Linked DNA regions of Saccharomyces cerevisiae S288C. The gene in region 4 interacts genetically with the main gene of each other region. Each region holds a gene or a part of one and is shown on either strand. Other genes may lie near its edges.

The links.
Region 1: mutations in BAT1 (region 4) and TEA1 together harm fitness more than expected from each alone (negative genetic interaction), as found in Saccharomyces cerevisiae (2 studies listed by BioGRID).
Region 2: mutations in BAT1 (region 4) and LEU3 together harm fitness more than expected from each alone (negative genetic interaction), as found in Saccharomyces cerevisiae (2 studies listed by BioGRID).
Region 3: mutations in BAT1 (region 4) and PEX10 together harm fitness less than expected from each alone (positive genetic interaction), as found in Saccharomyces cerevisiae (2 studies listed by BioGRID).

What each region holds. Positions count from the first base shown.
Region 1 is NC_001147.6:951,130-957,874, forward strand, and holds TEA1 (Tea1p), read left to right. Parts: upstream 1-3,214; coding exon 3,215-5,494; downstream 5,495-6,745. Other genes in the region: KRE5 (Kre5p), read left to right, coding at 1-2,741; YOR338W (uncharacterized protein), read left to right, coding at 5,769-6,745. UniProt on the Saccharomyces cerevisiae protein: TY1 element enhancer binding protein. Binds to the DNA sequence 5'-TCGGTGGTATTATTCCGA-3'.
Region 2 is NC_001144.5:1,034,516-1,041,600, reverse strand, and holds LEU3 (leucine-responsive transcriptional regulator LEU3), read right to left. Parts: upstream 5,509-7,085; coding exon 2,848-5,508; downstream 1-2,847. Other genes in the region: GTPase-activating protein SST2, read left to right, coding at 235-2,331; hydroxymethylglutaryl-CoA reductase (NADPH) HMG2, read right to left, coding at 5,837-7,085. UniProt on the Saccharomyces cerevisiae protein: Factor for control of RNA levels of a group of leucine-specific genes.
Region 3 is NC_001136.10:995,807-1,001,536, forward strand, and holds PEX10 (ubiquitin-protein ligase peroxin 10), read left to right. Parts: upstream 1-3,057; coding exon 3,058-4,071; downstream 4,072-5,730. Other genes in the region: palmitoyltransferase AKR1, read right to left, coding at 223-2,517; E3 ubiquitin-protein ligase HEL2, read right to left, coding at 4,298-5,730. UniProt on the Saccharomyces cerevisiae protein: E3 ubiquitin-protein ligase component of a retrotranslocation channel required for peroxisome organization by mediating export of the PEX5 receptor from peroxisomes to the cytosol, thereby promoting PEX5 recycling.
Region 4 is NC_001140.6:514,408-519,965, forward strand, and holds BAT1 (branched-chain-amino-acid transaminase BAT1), read left to right. Parts: upstream 1-3,124; coding exon 3,125-4,306; downstream 4,307-5,558. Other genes in the region: kinase-regulated stress-responsive transcription factor SKN7, read left to right, coding at 1-193; SET5 (S-adenosylmethionine-dependent methyltransferase), read right to left, coding at 498-2,078; CRG1 (S-adenosylmethionine-dependent methyltransferase), read left to right, coding at 5,030-5,558. UniProt on the Saccharomyces cerevisiae protein: Mitochondrial isozyme of branched-chain-amino-acid aminotransferase, involved in the biosynthesis of the branched chain amino acids (BCAAs) leucine, isoleucine, and valine.

The DNA.
Region 1 (6,745 bases), on a different chromosome or scaffold from region 4:
AAATAAAGCAAAACTGGTCAGAGATCATATTCGTTATAGATTTCGCCCGTTTAGAAGATAGTGAGGTGAAGGAGGCATTGGGTGGGTTGGTTCGTGCCGTTAATGTTGTCTCCCAGGGATATCCGCAAAGAGTCGGACTATTGCCATTTAGTTCAGATAGTGACAAGTCCGTTGTTAATAAAATTTACGAGCTGAAGAACTCAACTGACAATTTAACAGAATTAAAAAGTTTTTTGGAGACAATGCTGCTTGCAGATGGCCTTTCCGCGAATGCAAAACATTCAAAACACATACCAGTTCCAGATGTTTTCCATCTACTTGATGAACTTCAAATTGACGAAACATCAATTATAATCAATGGAGAGATTTACCCATTTAGAAAAAATGCTTGGAATTATTTAATTGCAAAAGTTATCAAAAAGGACACTGAATTTATTCGTAAAGAATTGAGCAATTCTTCTCCGAAAAACAAACAAATTAGCGTAAGGGACTTATTGCATTACAAATCTGCAAATCTGAGACATAATAAATATACACCAAATTATTTTGCTGATTCGGTATATTCTTCGGTCAACAATACTGCATTGGAAAGCGTATGCTCAGAAAGAATAGGCTACTATACTAAAAATGAAGAATACAATTTATTACACACAATCACATTAGTGGATGATTTTGGCTCTATTCATGCTTTGAAAAGATTGAGAAACTTGTTGCATACTTCCTTTGTTGGTGTTAGGATCAGAATCATTCACGTAGGTGATATTTCTGATATTTGGTATCAATTGCGTGGAAGTCTTTCCCAAAAAGATCCAATAGGCTCAATAAATACATTTATTGATGCTTTGAAACTTAAAAAGGTAAAAAGTCACACGTACAAAAAAAGCGGCTTAAACCAGTTAGGCCTTCATAAATGGCTTCCTGACATTCCATTATTTGAATTGCAAAAGGGTTCATTTATTGCTTTGAACGGTAGATTTATTCATCTTGATCAAAATGAAGTGCCAGAAACAGAACATTTCGAAGCAATCATAAAGAGAGAAGCTCTAAGAACGATCGATTCAGTTTTCGCCCTAGATTTACTTTTTCCAGGTTTCTCACAGGAAATAATCAATCCTGATTTGATAGAAATGATCTCCTCCATTTTAACTAGGTTGTTTTACCAAGGTACACATATATACAATAATGGTATTGATTATACCACTGAAAGTAGCTTACCAAGAATGGATTTGAGCGAGTTTTTTAGACCTAATAATTTAACGATGTTTGAAGATGGAAAATCAGCTTCTATTGATTTACTACTAATTTTAGATCCACTTGAAGAGAGAACGCAAATGATTCTTTCTCTTGTTGAGCAATTCAGGCCTTTGAAATTTGTTAATATTCAGGTAATTTTAATGCCGACACTGGAATTAAACATTGTCCCTATTAGAAGAATATACGTTGATGACGCAGATATTGTCAAATCAATAACTTCTGAGGATAGCAGATCAGATCCAGAAGTAGATATTGAAATGGATGTTCCTAATTCTTTCATTGTAGATAATAATTATCGGATAAAAAAATTGCTCATAGAATTACATTCCTTCTCTAGCAAAACAGTCCTTTCAACTGGCAATATTGATGGTATGGGGGGTGTATGCCTAGCACTTGTCGATTCTGCAGGGAACATTATTGACAAAACTACAACAATGAAAACCTTTGGCTATGGACAATTTCATACCGACAAATTTTTAAAGGGTTGCTATATAAAAAGTTGTGATTCAAGATATACCGTTCAGTCATTTTCTACTGACGGGCATCCCGACTTTATACCATCAGATTCCTTGGATATACTGTCGTACAATCCACAAAAAATCGCTGTAAAAATTTCAGAAGAGCCTACACACGAGGAAGAATACGAGGAAGGTCGCAACAATGATACAATAATCAATATTTTTACTATTTTAGAGTCCGGGCCAGATGAGGAAGAGAGGTACATGCAAATGATTTTATCCATTTTGTCAAAGTGTCCCGAAACGCAAAAGGTGAATTTTTTCATTTTAGATCAGCCGTTTATCTCCGACACTTTAAGGAAATCATGTGAGTATATAAATTCCTCTGATGAAATGAGAGGCAATGTCATTTTTTTGAATTATGAATGGCCTCAATGGTTAAGACCGCAAAGATTTTCTTCAAGGAGAAGGGATGTCTCTAGATTTCTGTTCTTGGATGTCCTTTTACCTCAAAACATCTCCAAAGTGTTATATATGAGTCCAACTGAAGTACCGCTGGATCCTTTTGACATTTTTCAATTTCAAGGCCTCAAACGTGCACCTCTAGGACTATTCCGAATGAGTGGTGATGGTTATTGGAAAGAAGGATACTGGGAAAAAATGTTAAGGGAGAATAATTTAGAATTTTATTCTACCGAACCGGCCTTTTTAGTAAACTTAGAGAGGTTTCGGGAGTTAGATGCTGGTGATAAATACAGGATTCACTATCAACGTATTTCTACAGACGCCATGTCTCTTGTCAATATCGGCCAAGATCTAGTTAACAACCTACAACTCGAGGTTCCGATTAGGTTTCTCAAGGGATCGTATAAGAAGAAATTAGTTATTAATGATGAATGTGTTTCTGAATGGAAGAAAAAAATAAATAAGTTCGCATCCTCTCCTGGCGATGAAGACGTACCTGGAGAAAGTGTTAGCAGCAAATACCAAGATTCCGACAATGCCGCTCCTCTGCATGACGAATTATAACTACTCGCAGGAAGAGTTCATTACGCGACGGTTCCAAGAGCGTGAAAGAATTGCTTCTGCGCATAAGTCTTCTTCCATAATAGATTTTTATATCATTTTTAGAACATAAAATTTCTCGCCAAGAGTTTTTTAAGTAAAAGCAGATTATCCAGTAACATGGGTTCCGCTTTTTGAGCGAATACTATGAACGAGTTTTGCCCGTGCTCCCCATGACTCATTAGATTCTTTGATGACAAAAGATCACTGGCAGAAGTCTGTTTCGCTTCTTTTCTTTTTTTTTTTTTTTTTTTTTTTTTTCGAGCAGATTGCAATCAGCGATGAGACAAAAATGGAAAGTAGGTATGGGCTGACGATTGCCTAAACGGTTATCAATTGGTTACTATAAACGCCTCTATTATATGAATATACCTATTTATTGAATCCCTTCATTAATATTTAAGAAGACAGAGGCTATATATCATCTGGATCAAAAAATGACAGCGCCATTGTGGCCAAACAAGAATGAAAAAAACCACACAGTTAAAAGAGCGTTATCAACGGATATGACCAGCAATATTTTGAGTAGCACAAACGCGAGCTCAAACGAAGAAAATTCTAGGAGTTCTTCTGCAGCCAATGTACGCTCCGGAACAGGTGCAAATACACTTACTAATGGCGGCAGTACTAGAAAGAGACTTGCGTGCACTAATTGTAGAAATAGAAGGAAAAAATGTGATTTAGGATTTCCCTGTGGTAACTGTTCCAGGTTGGAATTGGTTTGTAATGTTAATGACGAGGACTTAAGAAAGAAGCGGTACACTAATAAATATGTCAAGTCTTTGGAGAGCCATATTGCTCAACTGGAGACCAACTTAAAAAACCTAGTTCAGAAGATCTACCCTGACGATGAGCAAATACTGAACCGAATGATGGTAGGTGATGTATTATCAGCTCTACCAGACAGTTCACAAGTCTCAATCAATTATACTGACCAAACTCCCTCTCTTCCAATTCCCGCAACCAGAGGTACATTCATTATTGAAAACGATAAGGTCAGTCAACCTCTATCGTCCTTTAACCAACAAACAGAGCCATCTACTCTAAACTCGGGTATCTTCAACACCCAAAAACAAAATTTCGAAGAATCCCTTGATGATCAGTTACTTTTACGAAGATCGTTAACACCGCAAGGTGAAAAAAAGAAGAAACCGTTGGTAAAAGGTAGTCTTTATCCTGAAGGACCTGTCAGTTACAAACGGAAGCACCCCGTAAAATCGGACAGTTTATTGCCTGTGTCTTCGTTAACAGCTGCTACAGACCCATCTACTTTTTCTGACGGTATAACTGCTGGTAATTCCGTCCTAGTTAATGGTGAACTGAAAAAACGTATATCCGACTTGAAGACCACCGTAATAGTAAGAGGACTAAACGATGATAATCCCAACTCTATCAATAACGATCCCAGGATTTTAAAATCTCTTTCCAATTTCTATAAGTGGCTGTATCCAGGTTATTTTATTTTTGTTCACAGAGAAAGTTTTCTTTATGGATTCTTCAATCACTCCAAGAATAACTATGAAGACTCAAGTTACTGTTCTGTCGAATTGATATATGCCATGTGCGCTGTCGGTTCGAGGCTTACACCGGATCTACAAGAATATTCAGAAGTGTATTATCAACGAAGTAAGAAGACTTTATTACAGCTCGTCTTTGATGAGCAAAGTACAGCCCGTATCACCACCGTCCAAGCGCTATTTTGCTTAGCCTTTTACGAACTGGGGAAGGGTAATAATCAATTAGGGTGGTACTTCTCGGGCCTGGCTATCAGGGTCGGCTACGACATGGGATTTCAACTGGACCCTAAAGTCTGGTACGTTGATGATAACAATCTGCAGCTGACCCAAAGTGAGTTGGAAATAAGATCAAGGATTTACTGGGGTTGCTATATAGCGGATCATTTTATTTGCCTGATGTTGGGTAGAACGTCCACATTAAGCGTTAGTAACTCAACCATGCCAGAGTCGGATGAGCTGCCAGAAGTCAACGGCACCGAAGAGTTCAGATTTATTGGAAGACATGTTTTACAGATATCCTTGCCTCTGAAAAACTTGATAATTCTATCAAGGCTTGTACAAATCTTCACCTCTAAAATTTTCATCGAGTCGGAAGATATAGCACGAAAACTAAAGTACTTGAACACTTTCAATTCTCAGGTTTACAACTGGAGACAATCTCTACCGGAATTTTTGCAATGGTCGAAAACACTCATCGAGAACGATGACGTATCCACAGACCCCACTATATCTTACTTCTGGTATTGCTACTACATAGTGCGGCTCACCTTTAACAAGCCATTTATAGAAGACTCTCAAGAATCCGAAACGGTAGTCATAGAGATCATCGATGATTTGAAGACTTTGCTGGACAATTTCGGGAAAAAATTCGGAAACTACACGAAGGGAAACCTTTACCAACTTTACTCATGCCTGTTGGCCATCAACTGTTTGAAGAAGTTGAAAGAGATACGTTCCAGTGAGCAAGACTCATGGAATGCACAATTGGATTTTTTCAATCACATCTTCTACACACAACTATATCCCGCATATGATCTGCCGAAAAAGCTGCAGGAGGATACGGAGCTGGAAACAGAACAAGAAAACCAGATGTTGAACCAAGTTGGAAATATAAACTACACGCACGATTTTTCACTCTCCCACGAAATTGACGATCTTATCAGAGAACTGTTTGGGGTGGGCACACCTCAAAAACTCTGACGATCTTTATATTTGTCACCTTTTCCGTATCGGCGGCTAAAAGGCGATGCGGTGCACAGGCGCGGGGTCCCTGGGAAAAAGAAATGTTCAAATTAACATTTCTTTTTCTTGTTTTGTGGCTCTTCTAGAAGGATTTTTAATCAGCATAGCCTGCGTTAAAATTTTTTACCGGATCTTATATATCTAAGACATCTACTCTGTTTAAATACTTAACGAACATCATAGAGAATCAACTAATAATATAGATTAGAAAAGAGAATTTTTTTCGACTGCGATGCTAGATAACATGCAATTTCATTCTCCAGCACCGGAACATCCTCAATTGAATGGGGGTATTAACAAAATTCCCGCTTCCCACAAAATAGGTTACAAATTAAACCAGCAAGTGCAGAGATTGGCTGTGGTCAGGAATAATATTGAAGAGAGATTGAACTCGATGGAATCCTCACACGGACAGATATCCGATAGTAGCGTTGTCCGTGCTATCGATGCAAGTATCGATGACTTCCTAATACCTTCACCTCCATTATCGCCAAAGCTGAGGCAATGCCCCATAATAAGCCAGCCTCAGCTGGTTAATGTGGAAAGCGACCATAGGGAGCTGATCATGTTGACCCCCGTTTGGGAAGCGGGCTTGAACTCTCAGAAGTACAACCATAATACAAGGAATTTCTTATCGCAATATAGCTTCTTCCGAGATATGAAAACAACGAAAAGGATTCCTAACAAAGAAAATAGGAAATTGAAAGTGGTAAAATCTGTTGTGAACTCAGAAGCTCTGCCCAAGAGAAGAAGATACGATAGGAAAATTAAGAGAAGATCAAGGGAGTTGTACGAAGATGATGGAAACAGGTCAGAAAACTATGATGAAGAAAGTGCTCAAGAAGTTCCAGTTAGATCAGTGACTCCGATACGTCAAGTTAAAAGGTCTCTTCATACTATTTCTTCGCCATTGGCCTCACAGGGCGTAGTGAATAATGTCCCCAAGTATATTCCAAGCATGTCGTGGGAAAAGTTGCCGGATTACTCACCTCCTCTTCACACTTTGCCGAATAGTAATAATAAAGTTTTAAAAGTGGAATGGAAAGGCTCTCCAATGGACTTGAATCATGATCCTCTCAAACAGCGTCTGCATCCTGCAGAACTAGTTCTCGCACAGATTCTGAGACTTCCATGTGATCTTTATTTGGACTCTAAAAGAAGATTTTTCTTGGAAAAAGTTCATAGATTCAAAAAGGGGTTGCCGTTCAG
Region 2 (7,085 bases), on a different chromosome or scaffold from region 4:
TCCCAATACTGCTTTTTTTTTGACTAGGACTTGGATTTGGTTGCTGGTGCGTTAGAATTGTTGTCTGTCCTGTTATATTTATACCGGTGAATGAAATCATAATCCCAGCTCTGTCTTTACTTCTCATCGTCCTTTAACTTTGGAGGTGTTACTGTCGTACGTTCCTTCTAGGTTTTGCACGCACTATCTGAGGCGTTATAGGTTCAATTTGGTAATTAAAGATAGAGTTGTAAGATGGTGGATAAAAATAGGACGTTGCATGAATTATCTTCCAAAAATTTCAGCAGAACGCCGAATGGACTGATCTTTACCAATGATTTAAAGACAGTATATTCCATTTTTCTAATTTGTTTGGATTTGAAAGAGAAAAAACATAGTAGTGACACTAAGTCTTTCTTATTAACTGCATTCACTAAACATTTCCACTTCACTTTTACATATCAGGAAGCTATTAAAGCAATGGGACAATTGGAACTAAAAGTGGATATGAACACAACTTGTATTAACGTTTCATATAATATTAAACCTAGTTTGGCGCGCCACCTTCTTACATTATTTATGTCTTCTAAGCTACTACATACACCGCAGGACAGAACTCGTGGCGAGCCAAAAGAGAAAGTTCTTTTCCAACCAACACCTAAGGGAGTTGCTGTTTTACAAAAGTATGTTAGAGATATTGGGTTGAAAACAATGCCTGATATTCTTTTGTCATCGTTTAACTCCATGAAACTTTTCACTTTTGAGAGAAGCTCTGTCACGGATTCAATCATCCATAGTGATTATTTGATCCATATTCTTTTCATTAAAATGATGGGCGCTAAGCCAAATGTTTGGTCTCCAACAAACGCAGATGACCCATTACCTTGCCTATCTTCGTTGTTGGAATACACTAATAATGATGATACATTTACTTTTGAGAAATCTAAGCCAGAACAAGGATGGCAAGCTCAGATTGGAAACATCGATATAAATGACTTAGAAAGGGTATCGCCATTAGCTCATCGATTCTTTACAAATCCAGATTCTGAGTCGCACACGCAATACTACGTTTCGAATGCAGGTATTAGGTTGTTTGAAAATAAGACGTTTGGCACTTCCAAAAAAATCGTGATTAAGTACACCTTTACAACAAAGGCTATATGGCAGTGGATAATGGACTGTACTGATATTATGCATGTTAAAGAAGCGGTCTCGTTGGCAGCGTTATTTTTAAAAACGGGGTTGATTGTACCAGTTCTTTTACAACCATCACGCACTGACAAGAAAAAGTTTCAAATTAGCAGGTCCTCTTTTTTTACCTTGTCCAAGCGTGGTTGGGATTTGGTTTCTTGGACAGGTTGTAAGAGCAATAATATTAGAGCACCAAATGGTAGCACCATAGACCTAGATTTCACATTAAGGGGTCATATGACTGTTCGTGATGAAAAAAAGACATTGGATGATAGTGAAGGTTTTTCTCAAGACATGCTTATCTCTTCGAGTAATTTAAATAAACTGGACTATGTGCTAACTGATCCAGGTATGAGATATTTATTCAGGCGCCATTTAGAAAAGGAACTTTGTGTAGAAAATTTGGATGTCTTCATTGAGATTAAGAGGTTTTTGAAGAAAATGACAATTCTGAAAAAATTGATAGATTCTAAGCATTGTGATAAAAAATCTAATACCAGTACTTCAAAAAACAATATCGTAAAAACGATTGATTCAGCTTTAATGAAACAGGCCAATGAGTGCCTTGAAATGGCATATCACATTTATTCGTCCTATATCATGATAGGATCACCATATCAATTAAATATCCATCATAACTTGCGTCAGAATATTTCTGACATCATGTTGCACCCTCATTCTCCATTATCGGAACACTTTCCTACTAATCTATACGATCCATCACCTGCATCCGCGGAATCAGCAGCTTCATCAATTAGCTCAACGGAGGCTGACACGTTAGGTGAACCACCTGAAGTGAGTCTAAAACCTTCAAAAAATCTTTCAAATGAAAACTGTTCATTTAAGAAGCAAGGATTCAAACATCAGTTAAAGGAATATAAACCTGCCCCGTTAACTCTGGCAGAAACGCATTCGCCTAATGCATCAGTAGAAAATTCACATACAATTGTTCGTTATGGCATGGACAACACCCAAAATGATACCAAATCGGTTGAATCATTTCCAGCAACTTTGAAGGTCCTCAGGAAATTATATCCCCTCTTCGAGATCGTTAGCAATGAAATGTATAGACTGATGAATAACGATTCCTTTCAAAAATTTACCCAGTCAGACGTATACAAAGATGCTAGCGCTTTAATAGAAATCCAAGAAAAGTGCTAATTTCATTGAGAGTCTTACTCATCTTCAGGTACAATTGCACAAACAGTCCTTTTTTTTTTCTTTAGTTCTCCTAACCTAATATGTCTTGATACCCATAAGGACTGTAAATACTATTACGTATAAATTAAGCGGAGGTGTGATTTGTTATATCAACTATAATATGATTAAATAAAGCCATTTATTATCTAGTATAATTTCCAATCCTGAGATGTGACTAACGTGAGCGCTTACGAATCTTCGCATCATACACCTGTGGCCAAGGCTGGTTGGCGGTTTAAGTCCGTCTGAAAACTTTTTTTTACGTCATTTGAAGATCAAAAGTATTGAACATATACCTAATGACACAGTTTTTTACACTTTTTTTGAGTTAAATTATTCAAGGACAAAAAATAGTGTGCGTAAATGGAAGAAATATAAACGTATATAGAAAATCATTTACCTCTCCTGTAGCACCGCAGTCATTACATAACATTTTTTCGAGGGTAAGTAAACATTACGCAAAAAAAGAAAAGGACTTTAAACCTTGGGATTGAACGCAAATTCATTCATTAAAATATCAACATCCCTCCAAACCATATCAGATTCCCAGTTATCCCAACCTGCCATGATGGAATTGGGTGATTCTTTGATTGTAGTTGTAACGGGGTTTGATTGAACAATGGGATACGTTTCTAATAGAGAAGAGTTGGCTTGTGTCGCAGGTAGTGTGTTTTCTTGCATTTGTGTTATTGAAAGAGGCGGTTGATTTGCCGGATGTTCAGCATTCCTCCCTATTGGCAGAGGTTCATTGACAGCTTCAGTGTCCTTGATGTCTGTAGAAACACTGGAATCTAAATTTGCATGATTCAGTTGTTCCCTAGGTGACATTTTATTGAGGATTCCTCTATATGATATAGTGTTCGCTACTTGACTATTTGGGGTCGTTAATGAGCTTCCACTGCTGGTAGAGCCTGCATTTATTGGATTTGGGTCTAGCGGAATTGTTTCAATTATTTTTCTTGCTTTCTTTTCTGGATGCCTTACATTGGTGAATTTCCTTGTCCTTAGTTGCTGGCTATCCATATTTTCTGGAACTTTACTACTTAGTTCTTCTTCTTCTTCTTCTTCTTCTCCCTCCTCATCTTCATCTTCCTCTTCCTCTTCATCAACATTGTAAGCTGTAGAAACCTTGGTCTCTCTCTCCAATTTGGCCATACCACATTTCTCTTTTAGAATATATAAGCAGTCAAAAAAAACGTTTACTGACATCCTAGATTTTATGGTGATGCCTAAATTGAAATCATTATTTAGTCTACCTCCACCTTCCTTTTGGTCGTTTTTCCAGGCATCATACATATTAGCAAATAAACTCCATATGCTTCGCATTATTCCGGATGATCTGTACGCCATATCATATTTTAAAACTGAGGCATTAAACGTCAATGAAATTGCGTTGTTATAAGCTTTTTTGCCTGAGTTAACATCTAGCATTGAATGAAGTGATGAATGTATGAGTTTACTAATAATACAGGCAGATTGCCATATATTCAAGACAAACAAACCAGGAAAGTACTTAATAATGGTAGGATCATGTTCCCACATACTATTGGCATGTATAAGAAAGTTTACGGCGGCATTATAAACTTTCACCAATCCACGTTTCGTTTCAAAACTTGTATCGAGTTCCATAATGGAATATGATCCCTCATAAATATTACCATTTGATTTTCCAGCACTTTGGGAGGTAACATCAGTGAAGTAATAGGTTAATAAGTGAACCTTGGCCACTAGTAATAAAAATTTTCGGATATCATCTAGGTTATTTTCTTCAAGACTAATCTCCAATTGACTTAGTTGTTGATTAAGAACGTGTAACAAGGGCTGCTTCTCTTCCTGACTTACCATCCCAGTAACACTCGCCGGGGTGGAGTTCATTGTGTTTACGATTTGGTTCTCAAATCTAGCAATTTGAGCCATTTGTCTTAGTTCATTGGGTATATCTACTTGGCTTTTTGAATTTGGTACTCTAATAGAGCTGATTACTAAATAATCAAATGAAACATAAGCTGGGAAACCAAATGATGATGCAACTGTTTGAGATACAACATTGCAGCAAATCCAAGTTCGTATTTGCTCGTTAACTAATTCTGAATTTGCCGAAGCATACTCTTTTGAAAAACCTGCACAATTTAGTCCTACCCGAAGCGCTTGGAACATCGCTGTTCCTATGGTATTCCACGAAGTGTCGGCGCTTAATGAAGAGGTTAAGGGAGGCCAGAACGTGTATAAAAGAAATGCTTGCACGGAATATACAGATGCTACATTTAGAACGGGTTCGTCCTTATCTGATGGAGTATATCGAATTATTGGAGATATTGTGATTTCTGATAAAACTGACTTTACTAGCACTGATAATCGAGTCATTAAGTCTGTAGCCCCAAATTTCCGCCTTAAACCAATGAGCAGGATGACCCAGAATAAGCAAGGAGATAAGTGATAAATTCGCTCTGCTCCTTTCGAAAGGTCAACGACGGGTAAAAATTGATGATATTTTGTCGCAAATTCTTGAAACAGCTCAGCAATATCGCTGCTTGACAAATATACGTCGCCCAGGCTTTTTGGCAAGCACTTAAGTTGATCATCTGTCATAACGTTTGTTGAGTGAACAGGGTCGAAGTTTGTCGACGAGCTTAAGAGCGTTAAAGGAGAAGAATCCGTATGTCTTCTGTTGGTACTGTAAGAAATAGGTTCTCCTCGAAGTGTTTTGTATGATCTCGGTTCTATTTCTGTCGTCTCAAAAGCACTCTTCCTGAGTTGTTTTACTTTTTCTTTTGTGAAATTACTGTTATCCAAAACAATTTCCTGTTCCTCTTCAATTTTCTTCAAAATTTCATCCGAAGTTAAATTTGTCAAAGTTCTGGTGAGTTCCTTGAATCTTTTTTCAATGGCTTCGTTCCTTGCTCTTTTATAAGTTCTTCTGAAATCTCGTTTTAAAATGCATGGGACATTCTTTTTAGCACACTTAGTGCATGGCTCCGGTGCTCTTTCGTGAGCATCACATTTCGACTTCTGCTGACGACATTCCACACAGGCGAATTTCCTTTTCCTAGCATTCATCCCAGTTCTATTCCTAGTTTCACTATGGCTCATTTCACTTCCGGACTGTGAAGTCGCCACAAAATCTGATCTTCCTTCCATAATTGCAAAAAGAATTTGTATTAATGTTACGAAGCGATTTTTACTTGAGGCAGGTTGAAGGTTCCTCAAATTGCCGATAGCCCCTGAAACCTAGTTTTATGACCTTATATATCATGATACTCTTCTATTGTTGTGCTCATTACTTTTCATTTTTTGCTCTGAAAAACTTTGAAAAAGCGCAGTGCTAGGCGATAAATTAGGCGGCACCTCCGATCGAAGAGAGGTTTTACGCAGCGAGTCATTTTGATCAACTTCTTATTACATGCAGATGATTTAGAATAGCTAGACAATACAAAGATATAAAGTATCACCATGTAAACTACAAGAGTTATAATAATGCTGAGGTTTTACAGGGGGGCCCTTTGTTACTTGGTTGTGGCAGTTCATTGGCTTTGTTTGTTTTACGGTTGTGAGTCATATGGCTTTGTACCAGGTGACCGGCAGCAAGTGCGGAGCACAGAGACAGTTCACCAGCCAAGACAGCACACGCGATTATTCTAGCTAATTGCCTAGCATTTGCTCCAGGTTCAGTGGGGTGAGGACCACGAACGCCGAGAAGATCAAGCATGGCGCCCTGAGGCTCCAGAACAGTACCCCCGCCAATCGTACCAACTTCAATAGATGGCATGGAAACAGAGATCCTTAAATCACCATCAACTTCCTTCATCAAAGTTATACAGTTGGAACTTTCGACGTTCTGCGCAGGATCTTGGCCTAATGCCAAGAAAAGTGCAGTGACCAAATTAGCTGCGTGCGCGTTGAAACCACCAACAGATCCAGCCATTGCGGATCCAACCAAGTTCTTGGATATATTTAATTCAACTAAAGCGGAAACATCGCTCTTTAAAACACTTTTTACGACATCACCAGGAATAGTAGCTTCAGCTACGACACTTTTACCACGACCTTCAATCCAATTGATTGCGGCAGGTTTCTTATCAGTACAATAGTTACCAGATACGGAGACAACTTCCATATCTTCCCAACCATATTCTTCTACCATTTGTTTCAAAGAGTATTCGACACCTTTCGATATCATGTTCATACCCATTGCGTCACCGGTAGTTGTCCGAAATCTCATAAAAAGCAAATCGCCTGCTAGACAGGTTTGAATATGTTGCAAACGTGCAAACCTTGATGTAGAATTAAAAGCTTTTTTAATTGAATTTTGTCCCTCTTCCGAGTCTAACCATATCTTGCAGGCACCAGATCTTATTAAAGTAGGGAAACGAACGACTGGGCCTCTAGTCATACCATCTTTGGTTAAAACAGTTGTTGCACCACCACCAGCATTGATGGCTTTGCAACCACGCATAGCTGAAGCCACTAAACAACCTTCCGTGGTTGCCATTGGTATGTGATAAGATGTTCCATCAATAATTAATGGACCAATTACACCAACTGGTATTGGCATATAGCCGATGACATTTTCACAGCAAGCTCCAAAAACGCGATCATAATCATAATTTCTGAAGGGCAATTTTTCGGAAACTAAAATTGGCGATTCAGCCAAAGTTGAAAGTGCCTTTCTCCTAACTAAAACCGCACGAGTTGTGTCCTCTAATTTTTTCTCTAAG
Region 3 (5,730 bases), on a different chromosome or scaffold from region 4:
ATTATATATATATGTGCTTTGAAATGAATGTTACAAATGTGGCTATCTTCATTTTTTCAGCTAAACATTTATTAACCACCTCATGAGCTTTCCTAATAGTCCTTGATTCAGCCAATCACTTATAAGAAGCACTGCAGCTTGAGGCATAAACTTTTCTATACTCACAGTTGTTTGATAAAAGGCTAAAATATACAGTTTCTCCTAATGAAAACAACAAAATTTTCATACCATATCATTTCCTTGTTCAACATCCTTATTTGGCAATTTGTAAAGCTTAAAATAGTCAACTTCTATCCCGTTGAGCAAAGCTTTAGAGCCCGAAGGAGGATACAAAATTCGCCTCCACAAAGGCGCATTTATATCGCTTGTAAGCCAAAAGTCTTTAACATTTCTTTTCCAACCGTAATTTGTTGGTATTCTTGATGTAATCGAATACACATTATGTCCGGTGCTATCCTTGATGCCAATGGTTTCTTTTATAACCGCTAACCACTGATCCATACCAGTCACCGCGTAACAAACGCCAAAACAAGTGCGTGGTTTCCTTATCGTTGAGCCTGGGACTGGTGCTAGTACAGTATCATTACTCTCCTCACCCGGATCAATCGACGGCGCAAATCCTTCTGGAGTAGTATTGAAGTTTTCATTGAAAGATAACCCATCGGGGCCAATGGACTTACTCTCTTTCATCAAAACATTGAATTCTGTATTGGTCATTCCTTTACATATTTGAAAGGCTTGGACGAAGATCAAACTTGCAACCCAAATAGATTGGAGTAAAGCCCATAATAATATCAGAAAGACAAATCTATCATATATTAATCCCGAACAGAGATCTGAAGCGCCTAGGATGAAACATTTGCCATTTTTCTGGGATGTATCTTCGTGTGCATCTTCAAGTTCATCAAAATATTCCAGGCAAAGTGCAAGAAATGTGAAAATACCACTTTCCATTAATGTAATAAAAAATATAAATGCTTTGTGATTTTTGAGTCCGACATCATTAAAGATCCAAGGGCAGTAATGATCAAATCTTGCAACCACAGCATTGTTTAAGGGCGAAAATTTGCTTCTTAGAGGTTTTCTAATCCAAGTTTCGATACAAAAGTTCTTCGTATCAAATTTACCGATTTCGAGCAAGTTCGAGATTGTTTGTCGCACGTTCTCATGATCAGTTTCTTCTGGCAAACATCCTGGGTCCATAATAACAAGCTGCCCAAAAAGGTAAAATACAGAAACAAGTATTACCAGCATTAGGATGTTAGTATATTGTTCATCAGAAAATGTTCGAGGCATAACTTTGAAAAACCAAACGATAGTCACCCAAAGTAAAGTGCCAAAAAAAACACCGGATAACAAAGGTGACCTTAACAAGGTAACGTTGTGGACACCCATTCGTCCATATGACGGCAGAACGAATTTGTTCAAGCCTTTGTTAGTGGCAATGGCCAATAAAAAAAGGACAATGATTACAAACAAAGGGTTAATATGAGAGAAAAGAGCAAATGCGATTCCTAGAAATAGAAATGGCGTTATGAATGTAACGAGCTTAGCATGTTGACTTTTTTTGAACCATTTTTTAATGGGATAACCATGGTAGTCGAATCCAGAATGTGTTAGAGCCTCTCTAAGTGAGTACACAGTGTTCATTTCTTGAGCAATAGCAAAGCAATCTTTTCCGGTATCCGTTTTTTGGAAAAAATCTGCACCATCTTGAATCAAGTATTTTAGTACATGTGGTTGCCCTTTTACAGTGCCCCAGTGCAGTGGGGTGAATCCTTCTGTATCTGCGATCTTTATGCTGGCACCAAATTTCAACAATTCTGCTACAGTTAGGGAATCTCCCTGGTAAGCAGCCCATAGTAGTGAAGTTCTGCCCTTTGGGTCTCGGCAATCTATATCTAAAAGACCTTTGCTGACAACGTTGAATAAAACGTATAGAACTAGCATTATATTTGAGCTGTTCACAGATAAGTGTAGTAGATTGAAACCTTGGTCATCGGTCATGGTGGGATCAGCTCCATGCTTAAGCAAAAAATCGACAATGTACACGTACCCATACCTTGCAGCCCAATGTAATGGTGTGGCATGCAAAGCACCAGCCCTTGCATTGACATCAGCGCCTTGTGAAACTAGAAAATCCACTACAGAAAGTCTGTTATTAATACTTGCCCAATGCAAACCAGTGATATGTTCCGTAGAGTCACCGTCGTTATTAACTTCGAGCAACTTTCCATGTATCATTTCTTTGACAGTCGCTAGATCACCTCTTTGGCAAGCGGTATGGTAGCGAGTTAACAGAGGATCTTCTTCGGCCTCATCATTATGATTCACCTGCTCGTTCCCGCTTTCCTCTTCATTTCCTGATCGGATAGCCTTTAATGATGCCAACGAAGTAATTTCGTTAGAATCACCCAGACTAATATCTTCCTGTGAGTCGTTATTGCTAGGATCAACCGTTTGCTCTTCATTCGTCAAGGTCGACGCCCGTGGCACATTCTCTAATTCGTTCACCATCAATTAGCTACTCTGAACAAAGAAGTGTTTTTTTATCTAGACGAAACGGAAATGATATATTCTACTTCGTGGTTTGTAATCTACTAATCGACCGTATATATTCCTCGCTTGCACTTGTGTCTGTACATTACTTCGTTTTATAGATCGTTCAATATGAGGGTGTAATAAGAAAGTACGAAACAATGGGCTGGCTTTATCACCCGGAGTGTAGGGTACGGATGTTTGTGATCAGAGTAACCCAATGCTAAAAGTCGTTCGGAGGAATAAGCAGCAAAACGTGAATTGATAATATTATAGGAGCCAAAGTTCTAACAATGATAACGTCTCAACAGCTACATGAGCTGTCCATATGTGCATCTTCTTGCAAGTAATCAGCCGGTTTTATCACAATTTTTACCCACCGTGATAATCTGAGAGGGCGAAGTAGGTATTAGCCGTTTACATTAGAAAAATAAGGTAGTGGTAATAAAGCACACTACACATCGAAGAAAGAAACAGACACTACTACATCGGTGGGGGGTCATACAATAGAGGACCAAAATGAAGAATGATAATAAGTTGCAAAAGGAAGCACTTATGCGACTATCGCAGCTAAGATTTCCATTTGCCGATGCTCCAAGTATAGTACAAGCGCATCAAAAAGATGAACAAATCCAGGGCCTTTTGATTATGAAAGTGACTGAATTGTGCAAATTGATAAAGAGTCAATTGTTTGTTAACTCTTACCCTAAGGAACTGTCCATATTTGCCAAGCTCCTGTATTTGCTCTTTACTACAGGAAGACGTGGTAGAACGTTAGGTGAGGAATATGTTGACTTGACATACACTAATAGGAAGGGTACCAGACTTGCAGGACGGCTCAAAATGATTGTATTCGCTTTCGCTTATCCTTTATGTCCATATTTCATCACCAAACTATACAAGAAAATAATGAAGAACAACAAGGAAAGTAAAATTGAAGATACTGAAAGTGTTGCCGCGTTTTGTAAGGGCCTTTTAGATTTCATTTTAGACGTACACATGACCCTCTTTTATTTCAAAGGAGCTTTTTACAGTATTTCCAAAAGGATTTTTGGTATGAGATATGTTTTTAAACATATATTGTCAAAAAATGAGGCCAATTTTAGAGAAGAGGGCTCACAAAAGTACAAAGTATTAGGTTATATCCTATTAGCTCAAAATGTTATGAAATGGTACCCTGTCCTAACCTCTACGCTCGGGTCCTGGATTTATGGGAGAAAAAGGACCAATGATTCAATTACTAGGTCGTCTGTTGGTCTACAGGAGCGTTCAGAACATGAATCTATAGAAGGCATACCGAAGGAATCGCAGCTGACTCATATAAATTTGTCAGATAAAAACCAATTGCCATTTATTCCAGAAGCCTCGAGAAAATGCATCCTATGTCTCATGAACATGAGTGATCCTAGCTGCGCGCCATGTGGACATCTATTTTGTTGGAGTTGTCTTATGAGCTGGTGTAAAGAGAGGCCAGAATGCCCCTTGTGCAGACAACACTGTCAACCACAGGAAATTCTGGTCCTGCGGCAATAGAGGAACTAATCAATAATTTGACTACTCTTTTAGCATTGTCCACAGGCCTTTTTCAGAAATAACGCAGACGTCTGAGCAGGAGAAGTAAAACGCGAAGGGGAAATAATGCTTTTTAGTCTTGTAATTATATTAATTAATTAAATAAGTTTTTCTTTATCGGAATTTTATTTAAGACTTTCATTTCTCTAATGCTATTGTCAGTTACAGGTTAGAAATATATTTCCAACTATACACCAATGTGGAATAACAGCTGCTTTTGTTTGCCTTTCTTTTTATTTCCTCCACTAGTTGTGTTCAATTCCCTCAAATTATCGTGCACGTTAGTATCTTGTGTGCTTGACTTTTTACCCCACTGCTTAGGATCAGCAATTTGGGGTCTGTTCAGACCTGGAATTTGCACCTTTGGCTTTGGTGGAGGTAGTTGAGGTAGGTTGAGACTTTTCAATTTATCTTTGCTATTATTTAGAGAAGTAGAAGAGGAACCCTTTTTACTTTCCAAATAGGTTGGAGAGAAGGCGACTGTATTAGTGGAAGTTCGATAACTAACTGATTGAGGTGTAGTTCTTTTAATGTTTTGCACGGGTCTCAGAGTGTTTTTTTTTACGGTGGTTGCAAAGGGATCATACGACGCTGAAGGACTTTTCAGGGTTGGAAGATTTTTGATATTCCTAACGCCTAATGCTGCACCAGCGCTGCCCCCATCGTTTGTTCCACCCCAATGGCCCCTGCCTATTGACATTGAAAGGGAAGAATCACTAGATAAAGAAGGTAGTGAAGTTTGTCGTGCAAGGGTTTGCTCTCTTTGTTCATATATGGCGTTCAGATTATTGTATTTGGAGGAGTTTTTGGGAAAGGTTTCAGCTAAGTTATGAATCAATAAATATACATCCGCATTTGGTTTTGTGAATAACAATTTATATGATTCCAATAATTTTTCAGCACTTAAGCGACCTTTAGAATAATCTTCGTTATAAGAAGAAAACTTATTGAAGTCTTCTTTGGAATTTTCCAGATAGTATTTTGCTCTTTCTGCCAATCTTAGTCTACTTTCCTCGGGAGAACTAGCAGATCTCACATCAGTTCTAGAGCCGGATGATGAACCCGGTAGGGAAGATATAGATGGAAGGTCGTAATCATCTCTTTCCCTGATCACTCTAGATGGAGCCGAGATAAAAGTAGAAAGTTCTGACTGGAAAAACTTTGGCTTTCCCTTCAGGATATTACCATGCTCCTGCAAAATGTGGGCTTGTAACTCCAACTCGTCTTTAAATACGACAAACTTGTTATCTAAGCAAGTTTGGACGGTGCAAACGTAATGCGAATGTTTAAAGTGGTCAAAAAGCTGATTATAATCCTTAAAGTATTGAGGAGAAGCGGGGTTCATCTTATCACAAATATGGCACTTTTCATGCTGATTTCTCATGTGAATGTACAATTCGTCGTCTGAATAAAATCGTTTTCCGGAACAGAAGGCACACATAGGGTGGCCTTTGAATCCTTCTGAATTACCCTTAGTTTGATGGTTGCGTAATTGATTTTGGGTGAATATTTCAAGCTCACAAGGGAATGCATGCTTATGGGTTGCACATATTAAACAGATCATTCTGTTATGTTCAGATTTCAAGTGTTCATTATATTTCTTGAAACTACCAAAGTCAC
Region 4 (5,558 bases):
AGGTCAACAAGAACAGCAGCATCAAATTTTCCATGCTCAGCAGCAGCAGCAGCATCACAACGCCATTGCTAATGCTAGGTCAGACGTAGCCATACCGAATTTGGAACATGAAATCAACACTGTACCACATTCCTCAATGGGTTCCACTCCGCAATTACCACAATCTACACTTCAAGAAAACCAGCTATCATAAAATTTTACAAATAGCCTTGCGTCTAAGTTAGCAGAGGACATTCTGTATTCCTGAGGAGTTTCTTTATATTTATTATGTGATCTTGGAGGATTATCATTTTCTTTTCGTTCAATATTTTATCCCCTTCAGTTATTTCCAGTTATCTACATCAAAATGTTTGAATTTTATTTCTTTCTGCCGCTCTCAAATTCACTCTCATTTCTTTTTTCTTTGTTTTTCTTATATTTACTATATATATATATATATATATATATATATAGCCAAAAACAATAACAGACACAGTAATTTAGTATGCGTTTATCTCTTATCTTTCATCCACTGCGACCGAAACGTTTGAATCGAATCTGACTGAGGTTTTTCTTACATTCCCTTGTGTATCAACAGTTTCTGGTATGTCTAATTCAAATTCTTTTCCATTCTTCAGTATTTCTTTTAAATCTGGCTGGGCCTCTCTCATGGAAGATTTACGATTACCAGTTGATTTCTTAGAGCCATCTTCACTACTATCATTGGAATCTATTTTTTCTACTCCTAAATTAGCATCCGCATTCTTTTTCTCTAGATTTGGAACTCTTTCAAATGTAGATAGTTCATTTTGACAGCGGTCACACTGGCATAAGAAGCCCCAGTTAACTCTTAATTCCCTACGCCTCAACCTCACCCCATGTAAGGGATTGACGTACGTAATACGTATTTGTTCCCCCTTCTTTATTGGTTTCCTTGCATGCAACCTCAGTTCCTCATGTTCTTCTACTTGCTCAATATAGGCGTTTGGTTCACAATCATGGTTTATGAAGGAGATCCAATGATATACCTGGCCGTTATATTGATTGATATTGAACGTCCCGATCATGGTCAAAAATTTCTCGAAATCTATTTCTTCAGAAGCTTTTGGAAATGCACCGCAAAATAATTCGTAGCACTTCTCCCAAACAGTCTCGTCATCAATATTCTTCTCAACGCCCTTTTTGGTACCATTATCAGATTCCTCTTCAGTATGTACAGTTGTACCATTCAGTAAACTAAACGTACTGCCGATACCGCTGGCGTCTCTTAATTTAATTCTTTCCCTTTGTGAGATGCTTGCCAATTTTTGCCATTGCTCTTTGACCTCTCCTGTAGTATCCAAAAGCATGGATCCATATATAAGACCAACTGAAAAGGCAGCGGTAAAACAATATTTCTCACAGTAGTTAACAAATCTTTTCCAATTACCAGCATGAAGAATGTCTATTCTATTCGATCTCCATGAGTGGTATAAAAGCTCATGTAACGACGCATGTGCTTTTTTACATTTTTCACTGCACCAAATAGCTTTGCAAACTTCACAATCCAAATAATGGACCATAATTTTGTGCTGGGTCAAATCATATAGCGCCTTACCACATCGAGCACATGCCTTTCCATTAGATATTAAAAAAAGCTTGTCCAGTGGTGGAATATATACGATAGGTTTATTTTCTTTCAGGATGATTTGGCCCTTGGAAAAATCTCTTTTAGCGAAAAGGCCCCTTCCATGTTCGTCATCAATAAATTTCACTTCGACCTTAGCATCAGAATCTAGGGCTTTTGGAAAATGTATTTTATCTTTATATAGAGAAACGGTCTCTAGATCTGTGTCATAAAGATGGTGCTCATTTAGAATTTTTCGAAAACGAGAAGCACTCAATTTCCACGATTGATTTCTTTCCGTAATCCTGTCATAAAGATGCTGAATCGTAGCGTCTTCAGTTCCGGGCTCTTCCTTCCATAACAAAACTACGTCATCACAGATCTCTTCCTCTGTGGGAGTTATCTTTCGAAAATCAGAGCCATTTTCTGTACCATTATGCACTGCAGATTGATCGCTATCGTTTAAGGTTCCTATTTTGATAGTCAATGTCATTTTTGTGCCACTTTTCGTTATTTTGTATCAGTGCACGCTTGGTTATTTACCTATTTAGCTTCTATTGTTATATGGAGAAGTTCCCCATGATTATGATATCAAGAAAGAAAAAGAAAAAGAAAAATAATACGAAAAAAAAAATTACGAAGCTAAAATAAAAAAAATTACGGCAAGGAAAGGGTTTACTGATAAAATTTGTTATCATTCTTGCTAGTCAGTAAGAGCATATCTGCTCAAGTAGACAAGGGAAACTATCGCAGGTGGTCCGGAAAGTACTTGACAATCAAATGCTCGTCTGAAAGCCAATGAGGAAAACTTGTAGACTGTACTAATTTTTCAAGAGAAAGAAAGATACCGTATGTTTGACTATTCTAACGAGATTTATGCTACAAACTCCTCGAGAAGCAAACTGAGGTAGAATTACCCACCCACAGCGCGATAAGTCACATTGGCGCCCTGGACTTGACGAATACTCCTATCAATAGTAAGGCTCGCAAACCGCCCGTCCATATCAAGCCATTAAATTCTGTTATTATCCTTAAAAGTGAAATGCGCACCACAAGCTTGATGGCATTTCCTTCTGCACTTCTCAAATTGATAGCATTGCCTTGCGAGCAGTAGATAATTTAGATAAAGTGTATCTTGCCAGGGCCTTCCCAGGCATTAACTAGATAATGTGTTCTTTTTTAGCTGAACTGTAAAGCGTAAATGTTAACGCTGGATAAGTACCGCGTGTACGGTTGATTGAATGATCTTACTGATAGAGGCCAGGCGGTTGATACTTTGTGCAGATTTCATACCGGCTGTCGCTATTATTACTGATGAATTGGCTCTCTTTTTGTTTAATGGCCCATCCGATCCATATTGCCTTCTTATGACTCAAAATTCTATTGTGTTTGCCGGTACCGGCCTTTAAGCTTTGAAAAAAAAAAAGCATCTGAAAAAAATGGCACTATAAAGAGAGCTAGTGGTAACAACTACATGTTTTCGTTAGAATAAATCACCCTATAAACGCAAAATCAGCTAGAACCTTAGCATACTAAAACATGTTGCAGAGACATTCCTTGAAGTTGGGGAAATTCTCCATCAGAACACTCGCTACTGGTGCCCCATTAGATGCATCCAAACTAAAAATTACTAGAAACCCAAATCCATCCAAGCCAAGACCAAATGAAGAATTAGTGTTCGGCCAGACATTCACCGATCATATGTTGACCATTCCTTGGTCAGCCAAAGAAGGGTGGGGCACTCCACACATCAAGCCTTACGGTAATCTTTCTCTTGACCCATCTGCTTGTGTATTCCATTATGCATTTGAATTATTTGAAGGTTTGAAAGCCTACAGAACTCCTCAAAATACTATCACCATGTTCCGTCCGGATAAGAACATGGCCCGTATGAACAAGTCTGCCGCTAGAATTTGTTTGCCAACTTTCGAATCTGAAGAATTGATCAAACTTACCGGGAAATTGATCGAACAAGATAAACACTTGGTTCCTCAAGGTAATGGTTACTCATTATACATCAGACCAACAATGATTGGTACATCCAAGGGTTTAGGTGTTGGCACTCCCTCCGAGGCTCTTCTTTATGTTATTACTTCTCCAGTCGGTCCTTATTATAAGACTGGTTTCAAAGCCGTACGTCTTGAAGCAACAGACTATGCTACAAGAGCTTGGCCAGGTGGTGTTGGCGACAAAAAATTGGGTGCTAACTATGCCCCATGCATCTTACCTCAACTACAAGCTGCCAAAAGAGGGTACCAACAAAATCTATGGTTGTTCGGCCCAGAAAAGAACATCACTGAGGTTGGTACTATGAACGTGTTCTTCGTTTTCCTCAACAAAGTCACTGGCAAGAAGGAATTGGTTACCGCTCCATTAGATGGTACCATTTTAGAAGGTGTTACCAGAGACTCTGTTTTAACATTGGCTCGTGACAAACTAGATCCTCAAGAATGGGACATCAACGAGCGTTATTACACTATTACTGAAGTCGCCACTAGAGCAAAACAAGGTGAACTATTAGAAGCCTTCGGTTCTGGTACTGCTGCTGTCGTTTCACCTATCAAGGAAATTGGCTGGAACAACGAAGATATTCATGTTCCACTATTGCCTGGTGAACAATGTGGTGCATTGACCAAGCAAGTTGCTCAATGGATTGCTGATATCCAATACGGTAGAGTCAATTATGGTAACTGGTCAAAAACTGTTGCCGACTTGAACTAATGATAATGAAGGTAAACATCCCCTCCCCCCCCAAAAAAAAAAAACGAGAATTCCTCTCAGAGGATCTGTTTTTCTCTCACTTTATTCACATAGATACATACTTTTTTACAATTCCTGTTGAGTTTATTTATTATAAGAAATATTGGATTACTATTATTATTATAGCTTATGCAAGCCATTGTGCGGCTTCTTACGCTTTTTGAAATTGTTGACCTAACAACTTGGCACATTATTGAATTTCATAGAGACTGCTTGTAATTTAGTTGCCAAGGTATCTCGCTGGACTTTACATGTAAAATGAATGCGGCAAGATACCCAAGAGAGTTGATTATGCCAAAAAAAAAAAATCTATAAGGATATCCCTGGTATTTTCTGAAGAATAAATTCTAGCGTAGTTCAGAAGAGGTGCAAGTACAGTATGAATAATGGTATGCCTTCCATCATCGTGGCATACAGGTTCAGGCATGAAGAGATGATTATGTTCCCTCACCGGTCCATAATCCTGATTTAAACAGTTCATTAGTATATGTTCAGCCAACACAACAACGAGAAGCTTTGTAGTGAAAGTTTTCCACGATCTATATTTAGCATTCTAATTAGCGGCCCCAAGGGAACGTATATAAACATAAACAAACGGCACGAACTAAAGGGGCAAATTCAAGTTAACCCTTTTACACTCAGTACATCTTCAAAGCCAGTCTTCTGTCAATGGAAGAATCCAGAATGCCTAAAACTAGTTATTTAAACAAAAATTTTGAATCTGCTCACTATAATAACGTACGTCCCTCTTACCCTTTATCTTTAGTCAATGAGATAATGAAATTTCACAAAGGCACACGCAAAAGTTTGGTTGATATTGGATGTGGCACAGGAAAAGCAACTTTTGTCGTTGAACCCTATTTTAAGGAAGTGATTGGGATTGATCCTTCTTCTGCTATGCTTTCGATTGCTGAGAAAGAAACAAATGAACGTAGATTAGATAAAAAGATTAGATTTATTAATGCGCCTGGTGAAGATTTATCCAGCATTCGACCAGAAAGTGTAGATATGGTTATTTCAGCAGAAGCCATCCATTGGTGCAATTTAGAAAGGCTGTTTCAGCAGGTTTCCTCTATATTACGAAGTGATGGAACTTTTGCATTCTGGTTTTATATTCAGCCGGAATTTGTGGACTTTCCCGAAGCCTTGAATGTATATTACAAATATGGATGGAGCAAGGATTATATGGGTAAATATCTGAACGACAACCAAC